Drosophila melanogaster: one gene and its partners. The gene in region 1 interacts genetically with each later gene. Each region holds a gene or a part of one and is shown in the gene's direction. Other genes may lie near its edges.

Region 1 (8,022 bases):
GTTTCGATTTTTACCTAAGCACTTCACTTGGAAGAAAAAAAAACCATGAATCACTTGCACGTTTTTCGGAGTTATTTGCTTGGCATTATTTGCCTGTTAATTGGTTTCGTTGTTGCTGAATATCGGTCGCAGTATTATTCTTCTTTTTATTTGTATTTTTTTGGTTTGGTTTGGTTTTGGTCGTTTAGAAAGTGGGTTAACGTTAACTGACAGAAGCGCGTCTTTTTAGTTGCGCCTTATGCAAATGGCGCGTATATTAATTCGATTCGAGATTGCTTTCGACTGGTGATGGCAAATTCCAACTTGGTTCAACTTTGTATCTCAGCGATTGATTCACATGCATGTACACTCCGATCGGATCGCTGCGTCTGGCGCTACAACTTGAGATTCCGCTTGAGACGTTTGCACTCCAACTCGATTCGCTCGCGACTGAACAGATCGCGTCGTGCTGCGCGGCATTTGCGGCTCCGATCACGAAGGTGCACTTCGCGGACAAGTTAAGACGCGCGCTGCTGCGGTTTTTTCCTCGCAAAAGGTGAGCTTGTTCGAGTTGGAGCGAGATGGCGAGAGAAACGAGATTTGAGCGGCGACTGAAGCTTTTAACGGCTTTCGGAGAGCCAAACAAGATGGCACTGCTTGAATTCTCTCAAAATAAATGCTAGCAGTGCTCAGTCTTTCAACCAATAAACATTTGAAAAATATACTAAGGCGATCGGGAAAATCCAGTTAGAATATACTGCCTGTAGTGCGGACACAAACCAAGGTAGAGGTTTAAAAGTATTAAAATCCAGCGGTGTGGCAATAAGGAGCAGGAATTCCCACTTACTGTGCCGCCTCTAACTCATCGACGCTAATTTGACGCACATTAAATTTCAATATAAAGTACTTTCGGAATTATTAAATTTTTTAGAAATCAGGAAGTGCTTTTCATTCCCAGAAACCGACATCTCTGGGAATTTATTTGCCACCGCCCACAAGAGGGAGCTTTAGTTTCATTTAGCAAGTACAACATCCGCATTTAGCGGAGTCTAGCACCACCATTGGTGCCGATTAGTAATTTTAATTTTTGTTTAAGTTTAAGTTTGAATTGTAGCCAATTTGCTTATTTATTTATTTGTGCATTTGATTTTTATCTATTAGCTTATAAAACTGCAAGGACCGGCTATCATTTCCAGTGCATTGGGCTGTCAAATTGATTGTTTTCTCAATTTATTTCATTATTTTGATTTAAGGATCCCATTTTCTTTATGCATATCCATCCAACAAGATGTCACATAGACAACAAATGCAAATTAGATACCGTAACTGTCATTTGAAATGAATTTAATTTGGGTAATTTACTTCAACGCGGATTACATTTCGAATCGAACAGACGACCAACGAAGCCAGTGTCAGAGTGCTCCTCGTGCGCTCCGGTTTAGTGGTGTCCCTGGGCTTCGGCCTCCAGCTGCTCCTTGGACTTGTAGCCGACCTGCTCCTCGGGAGTGTGGGGCCAGAAGGTGGGCTTGTTGAGGGGATCGAGTGCGCTATCGGGGAATGCGTCGCGGTAGTCCTCCATGGTCATCTGGTCGTAGGGCAGCAGAGACTTGAGATGGGCGATCTCCTTTTGGTAGTTCTGAATGCGCTGCTCCGAGGCCTTCTTGTAGGCATCGATTTCGCTCTGCGACGCCTTGATCTCGGCATCCACCTGGGACGACACCTTGTCCTGGGGATAGGGCACCTTCAGGGCTTCGTACTGCTTCTGGAAGCTATCGACGAGTCCGGCCACTGGCACAAGCTTCTTGTAGTTGGCCCAATCGATCTGGGGTGGGCACTCGGGATTGGCCAGCACGGCGCGCACATAGATGTCCGACTTGGTCTTGAAGGCGCCGAAGCTGCTCTTCTGGTTGGCGGGCACGCGCTCGGCGAGAGCGGACCAGTTGATCGAGGATTGGGCGATACGGCGGGCGGCCATTCTGCACAGATACTGCAAGACAACAACAAAAGCGGGGATGAGGTTAGGTTTTTGGGTTTATAGAGGTGGTAAGTGATTTCTAGGTGTCCTGGAACTGTGCAGCGATATTCTTATTAGTTGAAATGTAATCTCTGCTTCTTTAGTTGCAGACTTATCGACATAATGCACGGCGAGTTATGCTCGCAAAAATTATGTAATTTTTTTCAATCCTCAATGTTCCTTCAAACTAAAAACGCGTTTGCAGTCCTTTCCTCGAGGCTTGCAGACTAATCGCTGTTGTAGCCCAACCGTGCGCTTTTTTTTTATTATTTTTGCAGTGTTTAACGTAACGTACTTATATTTTCAAGGAGAAAAATAAGAATTTCTGCCTCTGCAACCAACACTTACACTTTGAGTACGAATGTGACCAGAGCTGGGGAAAATACCACATAATGTGGAAACTGAACCAGGGCTACCACAGATTCTTAATAACTAATTTAGGAGTCTTTAAATCTTACCCTCGGGTCGGTCACACTATCAGCTGCCTGGCAGCAAAAACACGATTTAAGTGTAGCTCTTATTTAGTGTAAATATTGTGATTATCAATTAAAATGTTGCTGAAACAGTTGCCCCAGGCTGTTCAGCAGATACGCTGCATCTCATCGGCCACGACGGCGGTTACCAGGCTGCATCGCTCGGTTTACTGCCGGCTATATCCCACAGTTGTGGTGCAACCCGATGGATCCACGATAAACATCCGCTATCACGAGCCCAGGAAGATTATCAAGGTAACGTTAGTTACTATAACTTAACGAAACCATAATTAACGAGTACCATCTACTAGCTTCCCTTGGATCTGAGCACCTTAACCGATGCGGAGCGCAGAGCGAGATTGGAGGCCCGCAAGCCGCGCAAGAAGGTCAAGATCATGGAGGAGGTGGAGGACAACTTCAACGCCAAGAAGTACATGAAGTACATCAAAAAGAAGTAGCCGCATTTTATTCACTATTTGTTAAATAAAACACGAAAGCCCGTTATATAATTGTTTTAAATTAGAATTAAGAAATTGTGCTCGTTATCGATAGTGTATATCGCACATCTGGTATTTTTGTTATCGGTTTCAGCATGGGCCCTCCACTTTTTTCCACCATCCCACAACGGTCACTCTAATCGAGTCGGAAAACAAAGTCGGACGTCTAGCTGCGCGTCGCTCCCGAAGAACTGTTAATTTGTGGACGCTTTTTCGCGAGTGCAGACATAAATGAAAGCAACATATCTTTAGCTCCATTCCAGACTGGATCATAGGCTATAGCCCGTTAGAGCAGTGCCAGTGAATCGGTTACCGAATTATAATCTCGCTCTGCGTCGGCTGAGTGGTAATGTTGAATGGACAGTCGCGTCTAACAAAAAAAAAAAAAAACAAGTACACACAACCAACGACGAATGCACATAAACAAGACGAGACAGCAAACGCAGAATCGAGTGAAAACCTATTTTAAAACACCAGAGCTATATTTATTTTGTTGACGCTCAGGATTTTCGGTCCTCGCATTTGTGATGTCTGCGGGTGCGTGTGAGTGCGCGAGTGCGAATGTGTTGGTTGCATATCACGGCGGATGCGAATAACTGCAATTGCAATAGAGAGCAGACACATACACACAAACACAAGCATAATTGGATTATGGCCACACGGCAATAAGAACGGAGGGAGAGAGAGAGAGCAGTCGCCAAAACCAAACGGGTAAATAAATAGTATTAGCAGAAATCGGTTAAAAGCCAGAATTAAATGGATTAGACCTGTGCTATCGTTGGCATTTCCCCATCGCTGTGTGCGTGCGTGTCTGTGTGCGGAAGCAACCTAGAGATGGGCCTGACCTTAGCTTTCGCACACTGCCTGCCAAAAGTTGCCACCCGCTGCTTTCGCTGCATCTTGACACAACATGGTTTTCAAGGTTCTACCGAGATAAAAACACAAATATAATTTCGTAACGGGAAATGCAAAATTGTCATGTACTATTGTATATTTAAACATTTAGAATTGAGGGTAAATAGGTTTGCAATCTTATATTTTAACTTACGTTGATTGTATTTTGTCTTAAATATAATAAAACATAATGCGTAAATAATGTGTCTATTTATACTTCGTAAATGCTAAATTTAAAGTAAACATTGTAGAGCTAAAACTTGTTACTTTTTCACATCTGTTTCGAATAGCATAGCCATATGATCTAATTTGAAAAGCAAATGCTTAAATTTTTTGTGAGCTCAGCAGAATCATTTCCATATTCATTTGAATCGAACCTGTTGTCACCATGCGATGCACTCGGAAATCTGGCTCATCTCTAACACGTGCGTGTGTGCGAGCGTCTGGAATTCGAAATTTGAAATTCGAAATGGGGAAGGTTTTGTGCGAAGGGGAGCGTAAATATTTTCGTAAGCAGCGGAAATGTAAAAATAACACAAACACATTTGCAAGTTATGATGAAGATGCTTCCGATGTTGGTGCTGGTTTTCCCAGCATTCGCTCTCTCCTTAGTCTCAGTTTCTCCCTTTTTTTCCGATTCGGTCGATTCAGCGGAAAGACAGTTTTCCACGTAAAACTGCGACAGATGTTCACGGCTCATTATCCGGGGATCGAGAAGCTATAGCTCCCAATTCGAATGCACATTCCACTTGGGTTTCCTCCCGAAATGCAGCTGCCCTATTGGGATTTTGCCGGTTTGGTGGTTGTTGGCTGTTGCTACTGCTGCATTTTTGTGGTGTTTTTTTTTTTTTCGTTGTGGTCTTTCGTGGTGTTTATAAAATTAACAGTAAACTCCCCCGTACTTCCGCCCTTGGCAGCTGGCTGTTAATGCTGCCTAAGCTAATTTGTTTTCATTTGTGTGTGTCCGCATAGAGGGGAATAAAATAAATAAAATAAACGAAACGATTTGTGCTCACTCTACGCGCCCTTCCTATTGTATTTGTTATTGTTCGATTTTTGCACCTCCTTCGGTTGCATTCATCAAGTGTTTTGTTTTGTTCGATCTTCTTATAGGACTTGCACTTGAGGCTGAAAATAAACCCATTTGGTTTTCGTTTTTGTTGACGTTCTTGTTGGATTTCTTCGATCCTAAAGTTTATTTACGTATAGTTTTGCTGCAGATCGATGGGCGGCACGTGAGTGCCCTCCCCCCGAAAGCCGACTGGCTGCCAATTAGTCGAAATGTCTAAATGGCGCAGTGATCGTTGGACATTCAGAAATAGTTTAGAAAACGACGGTTCTGTACCAAAGGAAAGTGAAATTTTTGTCTGCCCGGCTAATTAAGCTTATCTTATGCTTTCAGTCGAAAATTCCATTGCCTTTGAATTTATTTGGTAGATTTGTATACACACATATTTCTCCTCGCTTTCCATTTCGTTACGTGAATCACTTGTTGTACGGCCTCTGGAGTCTAAACTTTAAACTCAAGAGAATAAAAAACTAACGATAACTGGCACCTCACACCTTCGATGGGCTTGGAATTTATTCAAAATACACCAAATTTACATACATAGATTCTTTTTCATAAGTAGGCATACATATAGGTAGAGAGCGGATGCAGCCAGCACCTCCCCGGCTGAATGAGTTGGTAGTTTTTCCAAGTGTGGGTGTATCTGTATCTCTCAGATAGCCAGCGATATATAGGCGTAGAAGAATTTATGAGCGCGACAACGACATGAATTTCATTCAGTCTTTGTTGTTTCTGTGGGCCCAAGAGTGTGCCATGTCCCATTTTCCACTTCTTTTTTTTTTGTGTTTCTCGGTTTTTGTTGTTCTTTGATAATTTTGCTCTGCCTCGGCGTCTCATCTCTTTGTTTATAGAAATTTCTTCTTCTTGAGCTGCCTTGGCTTCTTTTCGCCGTCTCCTCGTCTTTGTTTTTCTTTCTACACGGCAATGAAGTGGCATTTTTTCTGCCGCTGACCAACTTTCCTTTTCATTAACGCTTTTTTCGGACTCTAAACGCAAGACGCTTCCTGAACGCATCACTTCTCGGTGCGTTACTTGCTCCCTACTTGAATGTGCCTGAACAGCAAATCATTTCCAATTTCATAACCAAGATTTATGCCTCTTTAATGGCCCAGCTGAAACGATGCAGTGTGCATTGCACACAATTCTCCTGGCACGCGTCTACGTAGGCGAAGATACCACGATGATGCTGCTGCTGATGATGATGATGATGCAGACGGTGGTGGCCGCGACGACCCTTGGCCCCATAAAAATGCAACTTGATCTCACAGCACGGCAACAAAGTCACCGCAGTCGACAGCGGTTTATTGACTCGAACCTTGTGGCGGTTAACGGTTTAACATTCGTTTTGGAAAATGCCATAAACGCCATCGAAAGCAAACGGCGATAAGTGGTGTGCTGAAATTAATTTCATTGGTTTCTCTCTAGCAAACATATTAGGAAATGTATTAATTAAATAGCCTCGATTTTGAACGATTAGTAGAGTTAATATTTGGAGAAAAGTTGTTCTTAAGTCGGTGCAGAATCCCACCAACTTTCAGATATAGAAACTTTCTTGCCTAAGTCAACTTGTTGATGTAGAAATACCTATTATCTGCTGTTTTGAACGTGATTTCTTTAGTTTTGAGTTCTTGCGACACCACAAGATGTATTTTCTAAAATTGCCTAAATTTATTGCACGTCGTGTTCCGCCTTTTTTTTTTTTAGATTTTTAAATTATATTCAGCTGCTTCAATGCCTTTAGGGCATTTAATCTTCGTGGAACTGCTGACTTTTAAGATTGCAGCATTCCGGTGTTGTGGGGCTCATCATCTATTTTCCATATGTTTGGCAACAACCACGGATGCGGACTGACATTTGTTTGGCTGCCATTCCTATTGAAACATAAATATTTTGATGCTTTACTGCTGCGGCTTTCCACGCGGAATACATGTGTATATAGTTTGAAACGTGATGGGAAAATAAATGTATGCAAGAGTCGAAATAAAAGCGACCGCTTAAGTGTTTTTCTCGACTCGATAGATTTGCTCACCCAAATCGGTAACGAAAATCGTTGCTTGGGGCCTTGACTTAGTTTCGCGGAGCGTGCTAAACTCATTTTTGTGGGCCACGAAATGGATTTTCCTCTTCATCGATGATAGGCACTCTCTCCCCAGCTAACTCTTCACCATGATAGCCGAGTTTAATGTTTACAATTTTTTTTTAAAAATATATTTAAGTTTGCCACTCATTAGGGTGTATGGAAACTTTCACAGCTGACTGGTGAAGATAGCACGTATTCATTTCACAGCTCAAAACGAGATAATTTGACAAAGACCTGCCTGTAATTGGACAACTGTATTCTGGGGGCGTGGTGGGCGCGAAAACGATCCTTGGGTGCTATTAAGTCGAAGCCACAAGCCCACTTTTTGCTGCAGCTCTTCGTTTGTCATGGCACCTAATGAAGTGTAGCACTTTTTCCCCGGCCGCTTCATTTGGCCAAAAGCTTTCGTTGTCGTCAATTGGCGGCGGTTAGCCGCAATTGACCCTAATTATGGCCTGCTGCCGGCTTTGACTTCAACTGGCTATTTGGACAGATTTCGCAAGAGAAGGAAAGACACACACAAAATGCCAAAACGGCAAATAGCAAATAGCAAATCCCAATTCGCATAACTTCCCCGTTTATTTGCCGAGTGCAAAAATGTGCTTGGTAATTTGAGTTTTATTTTGACTTTGGCCAGCAGCGGAAAAGTGAGAGCTCTGTGTCCGTTCGCTGCTATCATTATCATTATGTCGAAATTTGGTGTAATTATTTTGTTATAGTTTTAATTGTGAGCTTTGTGGCTTTGAGCTGTTATCTCTGTGGGCATGATCGCCTTTTGGCCACTCGCATGATCCTTTACGAGCCAAATTCAATTTTGTTGTGTCGCCCAAAAGCTATTTCTCAGTATCTTATCGCCGAATATATATGTGGTTATTGCGATAAGGAATGGCAAATCAAAAAATTCCAACCTGTTGCCATTGTTCGCCGGTCTAATAGCAAGCAGCAAAATATTTGGTTATATCATTTCCGAACTTATCTCAAAAAACTGAAACTGAGTACTTCGCGGTGGGTGGTGG
Region 2 (9,151 bases), 6.9 Mb from region 1:
AAGGTGCCGCATTTTAGCCCGGCCGAAGGCACGGTAAACCCTAATGGCTATGGCATGTCCAAGTCGAAGGAGACATACCGAATGAAGCACCGCGAAAAGGGCAATACCCAGAGGAACGACTATCCAATGGATGACAACGACGACTACTCCGATAAGGAACTAATGGTGCCCCAGCAGGGAAACATGGGAAATATGCGCCGGCACAATCCGCACTCTCATGCCCATCAAATGCAAATGCAGTTGCAATCCGGAGCAATGCAGCATCCGCCGCAACACCAGCTGCACCAGCAGCAGCAGATGACTACTCACAACCACCTCAAGCATCAGCAACAGCAGCGCCTCCAGCATTCGCAACCGCATCAGCATCAGCATCAGCATCCGCATCCGCATCAGAAGCAGATGCGTGGGCGACAGCCTGTTCCGGCGAGCAAGGTGCACGTGAGTACCGCCGATGACGATGAAGATAAGGAGGAAGATCCTGAGGAGTTCTTTGACCTGATCCGCCAGACTGTCAAAACGGCCGTTGGCGTGAGTTTCGCATAAGTTCCTTAGTTGATTAGTTAATACACTATGCACTTTCTTTAGAACACCATATCCGATGCTCTGGCAAAGAACTTTCGCGATCTGAGCCACAAAATCGAAAGGTTCTCGGGCGAGTTGAAGCAGACAAACGATAACCTGGATAAGCTGCAGGAACAAGTCATTAGCAGTGAGTTTATTTACTTTCAGTGTTTATTTGGTATTTATAATATGTAACTATTTTTTGGCATCTGCAGAGGTAATTTACTTCGGTGAGGAAAATTCGCGACACTTTCGGTACTTGTGCATGAAATCCGAGTACGATAAAATGTTTTACCAGCATCAATCGCTGATGAATGGAAAGCCCACTCAGGAAATGCTGAGTCTTTCGAAGGCGAACTTAGAAGCAGCGGCCTCAGTCAGTCAGAATCTGACACAGAAACCGTCGCATAGTTTAAAACAACAACCAGGAAAAGTGATTAGGAATCAAAGCAAAATGCCTATTAGCGCCAAAAAAGACCATAACGAGTCCCTAATGAACTCCAGTGCCTATCGTAGCATCTGCAAAGCTCAGCAGCCAGTTCTTGCTGCACAAAAGTCGTCATCGGAGCAAAGTTTAGTTGTAAAATCATCTGATGTGGGCGTGCAAGAAGTCCTGGATAATATCCAGCGCTACTGCAATCAGGTGAAGGATATGAATGGTCAGATGTCGGCTGAACTGCCCAGTCTCGAGGACATCTTGATACCCAAGAAAAATTCAAACGGTGGACTTTGTCAGCCAGCAGCCATGAGCTCTAGGACCCTCGCAGGTAGTCAGAAAAATAAAAAGGTTGACGACACGGAGATCGAAACGCCCAACGATAGTACGGATGAGACCTACACCGAAGTGGATGACTTCCAGCTCTCCTCGGACATCTCGACCGGCAGCGAGGACGATGACTGTGGCCTCAAGTATCCAAGTGGAGCAACTACGAGCCGGCCCAACCGCAAATTAAATCGAAGGGGAGCCAACCAAGGCGCCGGAGATGGTCAGTAAAGCCACTGGAGTGAAGATAAAGGAGCATTCAAACTGAAGGGGAACCCATTCCTAGAAATCGCCTTAATACTTATTTAAATATTACTTTTGGCATGACCTAAATTATTTCTGATAATGTAAAGCCAAAAAAAATTGGATCAAATGTTTCGACAAATTAACTATAACTTATCGTACCTGGCGTACATGTATTCATTTAATTCATTTTTAGGATCACAATTAAACTATGTTCAAAATTTAAAACTGGCTTTCATATTCTTATTTATGTTATGTGAACAGCTTACATTGAGCATAAAACTGACCTATTTGGCCCTTGGCAATCCCGATTCTCGCTGAGTAATGCCCATTGGTGTCACTAATAAGTGCATATTATATTGACTGCAAAGCAAGAATCAACTGAGCTGGCCAAAACAAGGCATCACCCCCATCCGGCAACCGGGTAAAACTGAGTCGAGTGGAAAATAAGGCCTAAGACCACCCCCACTAGCCCTAACCTGCAGCTGCATTTTTATGGGCTTACGAGTGTCGCGGCTCTGCAAGTTCTTCCGCTAGTTCAGTTGGCCAAAACAGTTTAAACGTGGACGTGGTCCGTCGGTAAGATATTGGTGCGTCTATTCAAAGTAAAATGAGTATTTAAATAAAAAGCCAAACAGCTTAATAAGGCCATATAGTTGCTTTTTGGGCAATTAAAGTTAAACCCCCTAAAGGAATTGAGCTCTAAATTAAACTTATGCAACGTGGCCAAATGAAAATGCTTACTTTTCAACTGATGTTGCGTTTGACGTGAATTAAAAGTGTTATGCAAAGCCCCAAAACCCGGAAAAGTGCCATACGAATGTCAAAGCCCAAGGCACGAGTGTCGGTTCTGTTTTCAAGGATATTCCACTGAACAGTTTGCATTGGATAGCCATAAAATAAAATAAAACATTTTGATAAACCAACGAGGATAGCAAACATTGTGCAAGCTATCCACAAGTGCCGAACTGTAAGACTGGCCAAATTGCAATTACTGATCGGCACCTTTGACAGGCCACCCTATTCCACCCTGAAACCCGAAACCCTTTTGCCCAGCAAGTTGGCTAATTGCAATGACCAATATTTGAACTGGCTTCGGGGTGTACATATTTATTTGTATAATTATGGGAAATTGTACACTCGACGTGGAAAGCACTCAATTTCGTGAGTGACTGTTTGAGCCAATAACCATAACAACCAGCGAGTGCCGGGCCTCAGCCAAGTTAGTCAAAACAAAACGGCCAAAACAGGTGCAAAACATTGCCACATCAGTGTTCCGCCTTCGGTTTTCCAGGGGGTGGGTTCGAAAACGGAAAAACTAAAATAAAATAAACTGAAATAGAGACAAAAAAAAAATCGAATAGAACATAATTGCATTGTGCGGGCAACTGCAATGCTGCACCCGTTAACACAGGGGCTTACCAAATCAAATTGGTTGTTCGTGGGCCAACAATAAATATATATGTACGGTTTGAGTGCTGCGTACATCACTGGACAAATATAAAACGAGAAACGTTTAATTGACCCTAAAATCACTGAGGCGTTCAATTTGTGTTCCCTTGTTGTTTTTTCTTTGTTTTTTTTTTTTGCCAATTGCTGTTGCCCAAAACTATTGTGGCTCTGACTGTCAGTGGGTCTAGTGCGTGAATCTGTGCAATAAGTGTGTGCAGTGCCATAAATTCCAGAATTCGGCTTCCACAAAAAACCTCTATTGATTTTCCCGAAGTGAGAGAATATGCGAAACAGAAATTTTTTCCACCGTATTACTTTGCACTGATAGTGGGCAAAATCACGAAGAAACAGACATGGAAAAGTGGAAACTATGCCAAGCCAACAAAGTCTGTGTTAGTGTGACAATTTTTAATGCGATTAAAGTGCAGCACTCTCCACGCAGTCGGCAAAATGGTTGAAGTGGCCGGCAAAAAATAAAAAATACAATTCTGCACACTGGCTAATATCCAACTTACCATTTTCTTTCTTCCTTCTAGCTATCAAAATAAAAATAAAATGATATCAATTATCAGTACATGTTGAAGGAAAGACTGCTGCATTGCTTAATTATCAACGGACATTTTTTGTATTTAATTGTAAAACCTTTAAAACTTTAGAAATGAAGGTCATGGACGCTTTGCAATCTGGACGGAGAAAGCCATTACCAGTGGGTGAGTGCTGAGTAAATGTCGTAAGGCAGAAGTGAAGTGCAATGGAATGAATGGCAACTTGAGGGGATTTCTTTTTCCGGGAATATTTCAAGACCTGTATTTTTCTCAAAATGCCATTCAAGCTTGAGTTTGTGTAGAAAATTCCATTGCAAATATGGTTTAAGTGAATTCCTTTATTGAGTAATTCAATCAATTAACTAGTCAATCAACCATGCTAACCAGAACAAAGTTACTTTAAATTTAAGGACGACGATATTTTCCATCTTATACGAATAAGATTTAATTCATTGTTGTCCTCTGCAGCTCTTCTATGCATCCTAGTCACTGTGTTCTGCGTCTTGGAGTGCCATGGAGCTGACCTGACATCACCCACCAAGAAGTCCGCTCCCCTTCGAATAACCAAACCACAGCCCACAAGTCAGCAGGCCAAGCCCATCAGTATTACCACAAGGGCCCCAACAACGGTGGCATCAACCACCGATGATGAAGTCTCCAGCTCCGTCGATGGTCAGCTGGCCCCGCTCATCTCATCCACAACCGAGGGACCCAGCAGTGGAACAACTGCCAGCTTAGTGCCGGAAATATGTCTCAATGGTCTGCAGTTGACGGTCAATAGTGCGGATGAGGGAACGGTTATACGGAAGCAGGAGGAGTTTGTCAAGATACTCGAAGGAGATGTGGTGCTCAGTGTCTTGACCAAGGACCCCGACTCCGCGTTGTTCGTAATCAATCGTGTGAACCAGGCGAATCTTATAATGGCAGACTTTGAAATTGGTTTGTAAAATTCCGCTATTTATATGCACCTAAATCAAATCCTTCTTATTGAATTCCAGGAATTCGCGCCATCAGCATCGACAACGCCAGCTTGGCAGAGAACTTGCTTATTCAAGAAGTTCAGTTTCTGCAGCAGTGCACGACGTACTCGATGGGCATATTCGTTGACTGGGAGCTGTACAAACAACTGGAGTCTGTTATCAAGGACTTGGAATACAATATCTGGCCAATACCGGGAACGCGGGCGCACCTCTTTCCCAAAGTTGCGCACTTGCTGCATCAAATGCCTTGGGGCGAAAAAATCGCATCCGTGGAAATAGCAACCGAAACGCTGGAGATGTACAATGAATTCATGGAAGCCGCTCGCCAGGAGCACATGTGCCTCATGCACTTCAAAAGTGACGATAATGTTTACATAATGTTTGGCAATAAGCTAGCTAGTCACTTCAAGGAAAACGGCACTCTGTTTTCCGTGCCCACCGATAGAACGGACGATGAATTTCTGGCAGGTGGGTAATAACTACAACGAACAGGATTACTAAAGTTGTGGGTCCTTTTGATTTATTGTTTAAGTTAAGGATTAAGACTGATACATTTTACTTACGCATTAATTTCTTCTTTTCTTTTTAGACTTACCAAACAGAGCTTTTGTCCTAATGGAAAACGAAATTGACCTGAGCACCGCCGTTGAATTGGACGCCACGCCCACCGCTTTGGACGAGATCCTGATCGGGAAGAGTGTGTTACCATCGCGAGTCCTGAGCTTTGCCGGCTCCATAATCGACCTGATGAACTGGCTGCGCGGATCCCTGTCCAAGCACTGTAAGCGTGGTGAGGAGCACGACTTGTATGTGCTGGAGAGCTGTTTCAACTTCCTGAACTTCATCGAGGACTGGCGAACCTCGGAGTACCGACAAGCCCATGATACGGCTGAGATCCTGTCGCTGCTGCTGATGCGCAAGTTGGGCACCGCCATGAACTTTCAGATGTACCAGAAGAAAGTGTTGACGCTGGACAAGATCACAGGTGAATCGCGTACCGAACTGCGCGAGATTGCGTCGCAGAACTTTGTGACCAATGTGACCACGTACTATCACTATAATCGGGACAATCACACCAGTTTGGAGCTGAAGACCAAGTTTGGTCAGGTGTTCAACTGCCAGTACAGTGCTGGTGACAATAGGAGATATCCATTCCTTTTCGATGGTGAATCCGTTATGTTCTGGCGCATCAAGATGGACACATGGGTGGCAACTGGGCTGACGGCTGCTATCCTGGGCCTGATTGCCACGCTCGCCATCCTGGTGTTCATTGTGGTGCGCATCTCGTTGGGCGATGTCTTCGAGGGAAATCCGACCACCTCGATTCTCCTTCTACTCTCCCTCATCTTAGTGTTTTGCTCCTTTGTGCCCTATTCGATTGAATACGTGGGTGAGCAGCGCAATTCGCATGTGACCTTCGAGGATGCCCAGACTCTGAATACCCTGTGCGCGGTGAGGGTGTTCATCATGACTCTGGTCTACTGTTTTGTTTTTTCCCTGCTCCTCTGTCGCGCCGTGATGTTGGCTTCAATTGGTTCCGAAGGTGGCTTCCTATCCCATGTGAATGGATATATTCAGGCAGTGATTTGCGCCTTTAGTGTTGTGGCCCAAGTGGGCATGTCCGTGCAACTTCTGGTGGTGATGCACGTCGCCTCGGAGACTGTGTCCTGTGAGAATATTTACTATGGTCGATGGTTGTGGGGACTGTTGGCCTACGACTTTGCTCTACTGTGCTGTGTGGGCGCCTTGATACCCTCTATATACAGATCCCAACGAAACTATCGCGAGGGAATACTCATTGTCATTGGATCGGTTTTAATTATGGTAATTTGGGTGGCCTGGATAGCGCTATCCTTATTCGGGGACGAGTGGAGGGATGCGGCCATTCCATTGGGATTGCAGGCCTCTGGTTGGGCGGTACTGGTGGGCATTCTGATACCACGCACCTTCCTCATCGTAAGGGGTATCGAGCGGTCGGATATTGCCCAAGCTCTGCCTTCACTCACTTCGCTGGCTTTTGCCCAGAACAATCAATACTCCTCGGAACAGGTGGGTTCCTAGAAAATTAGCAAGAAACTTTTCTGATTAACTTTAAAATCTATTCTTACAGAGTGTTTACGAGTGCGTGAATCCCGCCATGCGCCATTGTTCCCAGGATGAGGTGAACCACCAGTCGCCTAGTGAGATTCCCACGTTACCCCTTCGAGGAGGTGGCCCACGTCGCCAGCAGTTCTTTGCCAATCTCCGCCAGGCCAATGCCAACATTAATCCACAACGTCCTCCACCTCGACCCCAGCAGAGTCCCTCCCGATCCTCGGTGTCCTCGCTGCCGCCCTCGCCCGATCACAACAAGATCACCCGGTTTTAGCCCACGAGTGTACAATGTGGCACTTCTAGTCAACGCTCCCAGTACGTGAATTCAGCTAAGAACTGTCCAACATTTTGAATCACTGACGAACCAAGAACTTATTGAAGTTGATAAAATAAATAATAAATCGATACAAATTAATATAATCACAAGAACCTTTTTTCTGCCCACAATCTGAAGCGAGCCGCTCCTGTAATTTTTTCATCGCAACAGATATTTTTATCAGAACGGTTTGTGCGCCTGCTAAATGAAAGCTGCGAAAGCTCAGCGACTTTCTCCTCTTGCTCCTGCTTAATCGGCCTATAACTCTAATTGGCTGGGCAAACACGTGACAGGGCGGCAAACAGCGAAAGCTAGACGAGCTATAGGAAAACTCATCTAAGGCGAAACAACGACGGCAATCACAGGACCCGATATCCTTGTGCGTCACGCGACATTGGACGCCCATTTGTTTGGCCTTGGAGGAGTGGGTGTGTGGAAGGGGGCCCCAGGAGGACGCTGACGTCAGGGTGACACTGGCCGGGGCAAGAACATTGACCATGGTACATGGACAAATGCGCAACAAGATATGCTATCAAGCCGCCACAAAGGCCGGCAAAAAAAAAGCGAGGTTGCCACAAACTACCGACTACACGCGACCATTTCAAATGGCGCCGACTTTGCTGACAATGCCACGCGCAAAACATTAGAGGGTTAAGGTTGGTGACAGGTGGGAGGTAGATCCTGTAGGGATCCAGGCCAACCTCAATAAAGTTATGCTTTACCATGTAATCTCGCCCGAAATCCCCCCGAAAAATCCTCACAATCTGTGGTTTGTGGATGGCATACTTTTTGGGGCAACGCGAAAAGCGCTTTGTTTTCCGCGCTTTTCCCTGCACTGGCCGCTGGCATAATTTGCACTTCATTTGCCGACACACAAAAAGGAAATGTCTTGGGCAGGGACTGGGATAAGGATAAGGATTCGTTCGTGGGCGGTTGGCTCTGATTGCCGGGCGGCGATAGTACTGCGAAATGAGTTTTTCCCGTTGCCATTTTCCTGTTTATTTTCGTATGGCCGCCATGTTCTTGCGTATGCTTTGGCATAATTTTCAGAACAGTTTTTATAATTAAATTTTGTGCTTCTGCGCGAGATTAGAGAAGAAATATGTAAATGGACGGGAACTTTTGCGGCACCACAGATCCTTGTAACCGCCTCCCATAATTGGCCATGTTGAGCAGCGCCTAATCTTGGATTCTGGCTGGAGTGTGTGTGACACTTGACTGTCAAAAGCTGTGCTACGTGACATTATTAGCAATGCAGTCCTGCCGCAATTCCGCTCGTCCTTCACTGCTTGGCGTGCTGCCGGCTACGCAGCGGTCCACGGGGCGTATGATTTATGACTATGACAAAACTAATGATGCCACATTCGTTAGATGGCAGGCGTGCGCCCAAAGGCGAGAAATCATCAAATGGCACATGGACATCTATTTATTTATATATATGTACACATATATTATGCTGCAGGATGTGTTTCTGTCTCTACAATAAAAATATCAAGTCGAAGCTCAACGCGTCACCGGCTGTGACGTCTTGGCCCACGCTAAAGATAGCCCAAAACAATCATAAAAGTCGCTTCCACTTCTAAACTTCTAAGTTAAGTTCAATCTGGCAAAAGAAAAGTTTTTCCTTTGTCGAAACATTCTGCGTAACAACCATTCCTTGCACACCAACTGGTGAATCATTCAGCTGCGTTTCCATCGGTGTGACGACATCAACCCATCTACCGGTAAAAATCAGAATCAGACATTTCGAGTTAAAGTTCGAGACTGAGAGAAAAACTTTATACCAAAAGCCTGTTAAAAGAATTTAAAAAATCAAAAATATCCCATATATGATCACTAAGTTAGTCAAGTACAATTTAAAAAAAAAAATATTTGGAAACCCTTAAAAGCAGTTTGAAGTGCTTAAAAATATTTCTTTAAGTATAGGAGAACATTGTTTAAGAATGCGTATCTACTCTGGCATGTCGCCAAATGTGCGCCACGTCCTGCGAGTCGCCTGCCATTTGCCTATATTAGTCATGCGGCCCAAAAAAAGACATGTGACGCCCGAGATACGAGCGCCACCCATTCCCAGGAAGCCAGGAAGCCCCCACTTTCCCTCTCACAAGCTTTTACTATGCGGAGACGTCAGAGGATGGCGCTACTTTACAACTACACCGACATTGGCGGGAGTTTTCCGCCTCCACCGCCGACGTAC
Region 3 (5,930 bases), about 12 Mb from region 1:
TCGCAAAACACAATCATTTTTTTGCAGTCATTTCCCCACCGCTTTGGTGGTGTTGCTATTGCTGTTGCATTTGCATCTGTGTTTTCGCTTTTAGATTTTGTTTTTTAGGTTTTTGCATCCTGGCCGGCGGCAGAAAGAAAGGGAGAGGAAGAGTCTTAAAAAATAGCAGAGTTGCCATTGAAAAATACAATTTATTATAAATTGTTGTTTTTAGTGCCCAACTAGAATTGGGTTAGACAAAGCGACGATTGAGGCGGAATTCTTTAACAGGTTGTTTTGCGATTTATAGTTCAATTCACAAAAGGTCACTTAGTGAACTGATTTTTTGTCCTTAAAATCATATTGGTCATCTTATGTGTAGGCCAGCTTTTCAGAATTTGAATATCTAGTTTTATCCCACATACTGGTGGGTGTTAATATTTCTATTTCTATGTGGATATTTTAAGAGTGTTCCCTAGTAGCTAAATGATATACATCTGAGACTTTTAATTAATTAATTGCTGATTTCATGGTTTTAGTACAGAAAACCATGTGCTAAGATGTTTTTAAGCAACATCCTGAATCTATAACAATTGCGTTAAACTTTTTCATTCTGTTAAGAAGCTTTAAAGTTGAAATATTTTGAGCTCGATGCAACCAAATAATTCCTTAAATTTTGGAGGCACCGGATAAAAACATTTTGATCAACTTTTGTGTGTGAAAAATTAATTATCACCACGTGGCAACACTGTCAACGTGCTTTGATGCCATTTTTTCCCACTCGTTTTTGCCCAGAACTCCCCTCTTTTTTGTATGTTTTGTGGATGTCCAAACATTTTTTATGCTGTTTTGTTGTGTTTCTGTACTTTTTTTTTTTGCTTTTTGGAATACGCAACGGACAGACACACACATAGGGCCACACACGTATTTGAACACACACAGTCAGAGGCGAATCAGAAAAAGTACAAAAAAGCATTTTGGGAAAAGTGGAGTGAGGAGTGAGGCAGGGGATTGCATGGGCTTATTGCGATGCGTGACTCGTATTTGTGGACTTTGAATACAAACAAAACAGTCGGACACAGATAGAAGCCCACACAAGTGCAATTATGAATACTACGCCCACACACACGCCGCATAATCACAGAGAGAGACACTCTCACTCACTGCAATGTGTGCATTTCAATACGCATTAATAACTACGAATTCAATGTGGCAGTGGCAACCATCCTTAGTATTTCAGCCCAAAGCTCACACACACCTAAACCCACACCCTCAAATGCTCACGCACACATAGGCACACCGGCGTCAATGCAGCTGACGCCTAAAAAACGACTACAAAAAAGCATAAAAATCCAATTCCCCGCCTTGCTCGTTAATTTTGCTGGCGCTGCTCTTCAATTCACAGCCCAAAACTGAAAAGTGCCATGATAATTTTGTTTTTACTCTATCCAAACTTTAAAATCGCATAAAAATCAATGCCAATGATGCCATTAAATCAACAGACAGATCCATGTTTCGTTTTCCACAAAAGTTCCAAGCTCGAAGTCCCTTTAAATTCTAATTTTTGTGTTTTTTTAGCAGCACGTTTACTCAACATTTTCGCTTTCTGACGTTCCGGCCTCACATGAACTGCAGCATTTTTTCGTGCTACATTTTTGCTGGTTGCATTCTATGTCTGGTGGCCGCAAAACGGTTTTCCATGAATTTTTCATCCATTTAGCGGCGCCATTGAGCCATTTTCTGGGCGCTTAGAATTCATAGATACTTTAGCAAATTGTTTTTTTAGTTCGATTTTCTACATTCTTTTTGTTTTTAGGGATTTTTAGCTTTTGTATCGTGACATTGAATCTCGGTGTGATTGATTGTCTTTAACGATTTAATTGAATCGAAAATATAAAAAGATCACCACTGACTTGTTTATATGAAGAAGACAGGGCAAATATCTGTTATTGTTAGGCACAAAAAATGTTTATAATAATTTGATTCACTTTTTTTTTGTATTGAAAACAGCATTTTTGATATTTCTTAGTAACACCTTAGTCGCCCATTAAATTTCTGCGGAGCACCCTAGATGTGTGTATGAATTATCCAGAAATATTTACAAATGTACGACCCACAGTAGGCACTCTCTATGGGTGATCGAATTTTTGTGCTGCCAGAACTATTTAAGCTATCAGCTTTCACCCGATTCCAAATAAACCGTAAGAGTAAATAAACATTTCGGTCGAGTATTCGGAGAAGCGAGCCGATAACTTCTGCGTAGCTGACTCAAGCCGAAGTGGCCTCTCTTCGGAAATTGCCAACTGACCAGAACAGCTGAATCAATTCGCCAACTTTATGATTAGTGGCTCTGGGAGTCGGACGCCCTCAAATCGACTTTATTTGTCGCCCGTTCGCCCCACGATGCAGAACAAACGGAGGCTTCTGCGGGAGTACAGGTCCTACGATGACCTCAGCGAGCACTACCGCATGTTTGGATCGCAGTCCCTGGACTCGCTGCAGGATCGCGTGGACATGAATCCCAGTGGCTGCGATGGCTTATCCACGGACGGACTCGACTTCTGCTCGCAGTCCCACTCGGGGCTGCTGAGGGAGCACAATTTCAAGATTAAGTCCTACTACTACAACGTGGGGAACTGCGTACACTGCCGCAAAAGGTGAGTTGCAATCACCGAATGGTGGAACTTCTGAGAGGATTTCGAATTCAGGGAAAACATGAAAAGTTAAATAACATCCCAACCCTCTCTGACCAGCATTTACCTCCCTAACCGCGTGTCCCTGGTCTTCTTCCAGGATCCGCTTCGCCATGGCCAGCCTGAGGTGTCGGGCGTGTCCGCTCCGCTGCCACATCGGTTGCTGCCGCCAGCTGACGGTGAACTGCATCCCCCAGCCTCAAATCGGTACGAAGAGAGGATGTCTCAGCGATTATGCGCCTCGGGTGGCGCCCATGGTGCCGGCCTTAATTGTCCATTGTGTAACGGAGATCGAGGCGCGGGGATTGCAGCAGGAGGGACTCTACCGGGTGTCCTCCACCCGAGAGAAATGCAAACGACTGCGTCGGAAGCTGCTGCGTGGCAAGTCCACGCCGCATTTGGGCAATAAAGACACCCACACACTGTGCTGTTGTGTTAAGGACTTTCTTCGGCAGTTGGTTCACCCTCTGATTCCCATTTACCACCGAAGGGATTTCGAGGAGGCCACGCGGCACGAAGATCGTCTGGCTGTGGAGATGGCGGTATATTTAGCGGTTCTGGAGCTGCATCAGGCTCACAGGGATACGTTGGCCTACTTAATGCTTCACTGGCAGAAAATTGCCGAAAGTCCTGCTGTCCGCATGACGGTCAACAATCTTGCCGTGATCTTCGCTCCAACTCTGTTCGGAGATCTGGATCTAACCCTCGAAAATGTCGTCACTTGGCAGCGGGTGCTGAAGGTGCTACTTCTGATGCCTGCCGGATTTTGGTCTCAGTTCTTGGAGGTCCATCCCCTTCCCACTTCGTTGGGCAGCACCTATGACTTTGAGGACCGGTACAATCACCGTCACTGGGACAGCTCGTCCAATCTGGGATGGTCTTCTGTTAAGACCTACTTTAGATCAATGGTAAGACCTATGGTTTCCCTTTAACGGATTTGGATAGAATTTCATATTCGAATAAGCCAAACTCAATACAAGCAATCAAACATATCATACAAATCTTTCACTGAATACTTCCTGTTTCAGGTCAACCTTAGCAGTACTCACCTATAGTGAAAGTCTTATGACTGAGACATCGAGAATGGATGCAGTCACCCTTTTTTATTTTATTTTGTATTTTTTTTCATTATTCACTACAGTTGAAGAACTAATAATAATTGGATCTCTAACATGTTGTGTATGTGTTGTTGAATTATATGCGGCTAACAAGAGTACTTGACATCTCAAGTGCAATACTTGATTTATTGAATCACCAAAAGATACTCTCAGAAAACACCCATTATTTCCATATATGAAATTCGGCTAATTAAATATAAAGCCAGGCCAAAATCTTATTCGCACCACATAAATAATCTAGCATGGCCCAGAGCGACGTTATCGCAAAACTATATATTTCGAGTATTGAAACATTAATAAACATTTTTAATTGAATTTGCAATTTTTTTCGCCGAACGTTGATTAATTCCCAACCGTTGAAAACATGTAAAAAATTAATAATTTCCATTTCCCATATTTATGTTTCTTTGAAGCGTAAACCAAAGCACAAAGTAAAATATTTTGCCGCGAACACATATAAATAAGTTAAAGCGCCAAGAAAAAAGTTAGCATTTTAAAAACAATTTGGAGAGTGCCGTGCAAAAAAGTGCGGCCATTAAATGCAAAAAACAAGCAAAGCAAAACAAAACTCGAATGCACTGGACGAGTGCATAAATAGACTCACTCCCAATATCAGTCGATCCGATCCCAAGCCAATACTCGTACATGGTCCAAATAATGTATAATACAATCAAAACAAACATAAAGCGAGACGGCAAGCGTGTGCGAGCAGTGGCGAACGAGGGCCGGGAGGGAAGAGCATTTGCAGTGCGCTTCTGTTGCTAACCGCCACAAATATCAAATGGGCTGGCAATTGTTGCAGTGGTCGCCCGTTAACGTTAACCAAATGCTAATGCCAAAGGCCACAAAACGCAGGCACGCACACCAGCGCGTTTTTTAGGGGCAGTTCGCACCAATACCGTGTCAGAAAAATGCAGCGAAAAAATGCAAAAATAAATAGGCAAAACAAAAATAAAAATAGTTTACATAATTCATGTATTATATCGGATCACATTTTAATGCTCGCCGCCGCGCCACTCTGCATGTGTGCGTGTGTGTGTGTGTGTACGTGTGCGTGTGCGGAAAACATTGCCTACTTGGGGGCGCGAGTTAAAATTGTTTAACAAATGGCATGACTGCAATGTATGTGAGTGTGTGTGGCTTGTTTGTGTGCGCCTGCATAATTCGCGTGCAGTTTTTGCTTTTTTAAGACTTTTTAGCCTATTTTTATTGTTAATTAAATGAGGGGAATAACAGACACAGTCCACCGAAGTGGAGCATGCAAGTGAGTGTGTGTGTATGTGCTCACGCTCTCGCGTGTCTGTGTGTGTGCGTGTGTTTGTTTTGATGTGCGCAACAAATTTGTGCAATTTTTCTATTTTTGTCGGCAGTTTTTCACCCGCTCGGGCATTTTCCGCTCGTTGTTCGCATGTAATTCACTAATTGATAGTGTGAGCTTGCCCCATACCGCCAAAACCGCCACGCCCCCTCCCGGTCGCGCCCCCCCGCTCCACTAACCACTTGTGTAATTGTGTTAGTGCCTGCCACACATGAGCTCACACAAAGTTGAAAGCGCAGCAAAGAATAATGGAAAAAAGTAAATGCAAATGTCAAACAAAACTAAAAAATTGCAGTTAAAAATAGTAGGAAGCGTATTATGCGTGGCGAGGTGGAGCGGAAAGAAAAACTGAAAACCAGAATCGCTCACCAATACTGGCACAGCGTGGTGCTAATAATAAGATAGGGTAAAAATCGCAGCGCACTTTTGCGTTTATTTCAGTTAATGCTGCACTTTTTTGCCGCTTTGCTAGGCGTGTTCTATAATTTTATGTAAGCTTTGTGTCGGTCGGCCCAAACAAGTGGGCGCGGCATGTGGTCCATAAAAAAGTTCCCTTTTTCCGTATTCTTCTTGCCGTTTTTTGTGGATAAGACAAATATTTTGTTGATGGTAAAAAAAACTTTAAAAAATACATGTCCGTGATTAATTTTGTTTTTAAAGGATTTCAATTACAATAAGGACTTTCCTTGGGAAAATAAATATTTGCGTTGAGTTTGGAATGTTATTTGTGGAGTGTTTTAAAAAGCTTAAAAATATGCAGGGAAATTATTAAATACAGAATGCATTTTTGCGTGTTGGATTTAACGGTGAGGTCCTTAAAGC

Evidence for each region. A genetic interaction does not mean that the proteins touch.
Region 2: of cdi (region 1) and boss, changing one suppresses a phenotype caused by changing the other (phenotypic suppression), as found in Drosophila melanogaster (one study listed by BioGRID).
Region 3: of cdi (region 1) and RacGAP84C, changing one suppresses a phenotype caused by changing the other (phenotypic suppression), as found in Drosophila melanogaster (one study listed by BioGRID).

The regions. Positions count from the first base shown.
Region 1 is NT_033777.3:19,089,341-19,097,362, reverse strand, and holds the start of cdi (center divider), read left to right. Parts: upstream 1-3,092; 5' UTR 3,093-3,674; intron 3,675-8,022. Other genes in the region: ATPsynD (ATP synthase, subunit D), read right to left, coding at 1,418-1,954; mRpL55 (mitochondrial ribosomal protein L55), read left to right, coding at 2,545-2,721, 2,778-2,924.
Region 2 is NT_033777.3:25,959,887-25,969,037, forward strand, and holds boss (bride of sevenless), read left to right. Parts: upstream 1-2,107; 5' UTR 2,108-2,157; intron 2,158-3,555; 5' UTR 3,556-3,677; coding exon 3,678-3,729; intron 3,730-4,032; coding exon 4,033-4,503; intron 4,504-4,562; coding exon 4,563-5,012; intron 5,013-5,133; coding exon 5,134-6,593; intron 6,594-6,654; coding exon 6,655-6,912; 3' UTR 6,913-7,062; downstream 7,063-9,151. Other genes in the region: CG14540 (uncharacterized protein), read left to right, coding at 1-528, 586-709, 777-1,555. UniProt on the Drosophila melanogaster protein: Acts as a ligand for sevenless tyrosine-kinase receptor during eye development.
Region 3 is NT_033777.3:7,283,789-7,289,718, forward strand, and holds RacGAP84C (Rac GTPase activating protein at 84C), read left to right. Parts: upstream 1-2,173; 5' UTR 2,174-2,316; coding exon 2,317-2,636; intron 2,637-2,772; coding exon 2,773-3,580; coding exon of another isoform or gene 3,581-3,604; exon of another isoform or gene 3,605-3,663; intron 3,664-3,700; coding exon 3,701-3,727; 3' UTR 3,728-3,841; downstream 3,842-5,930.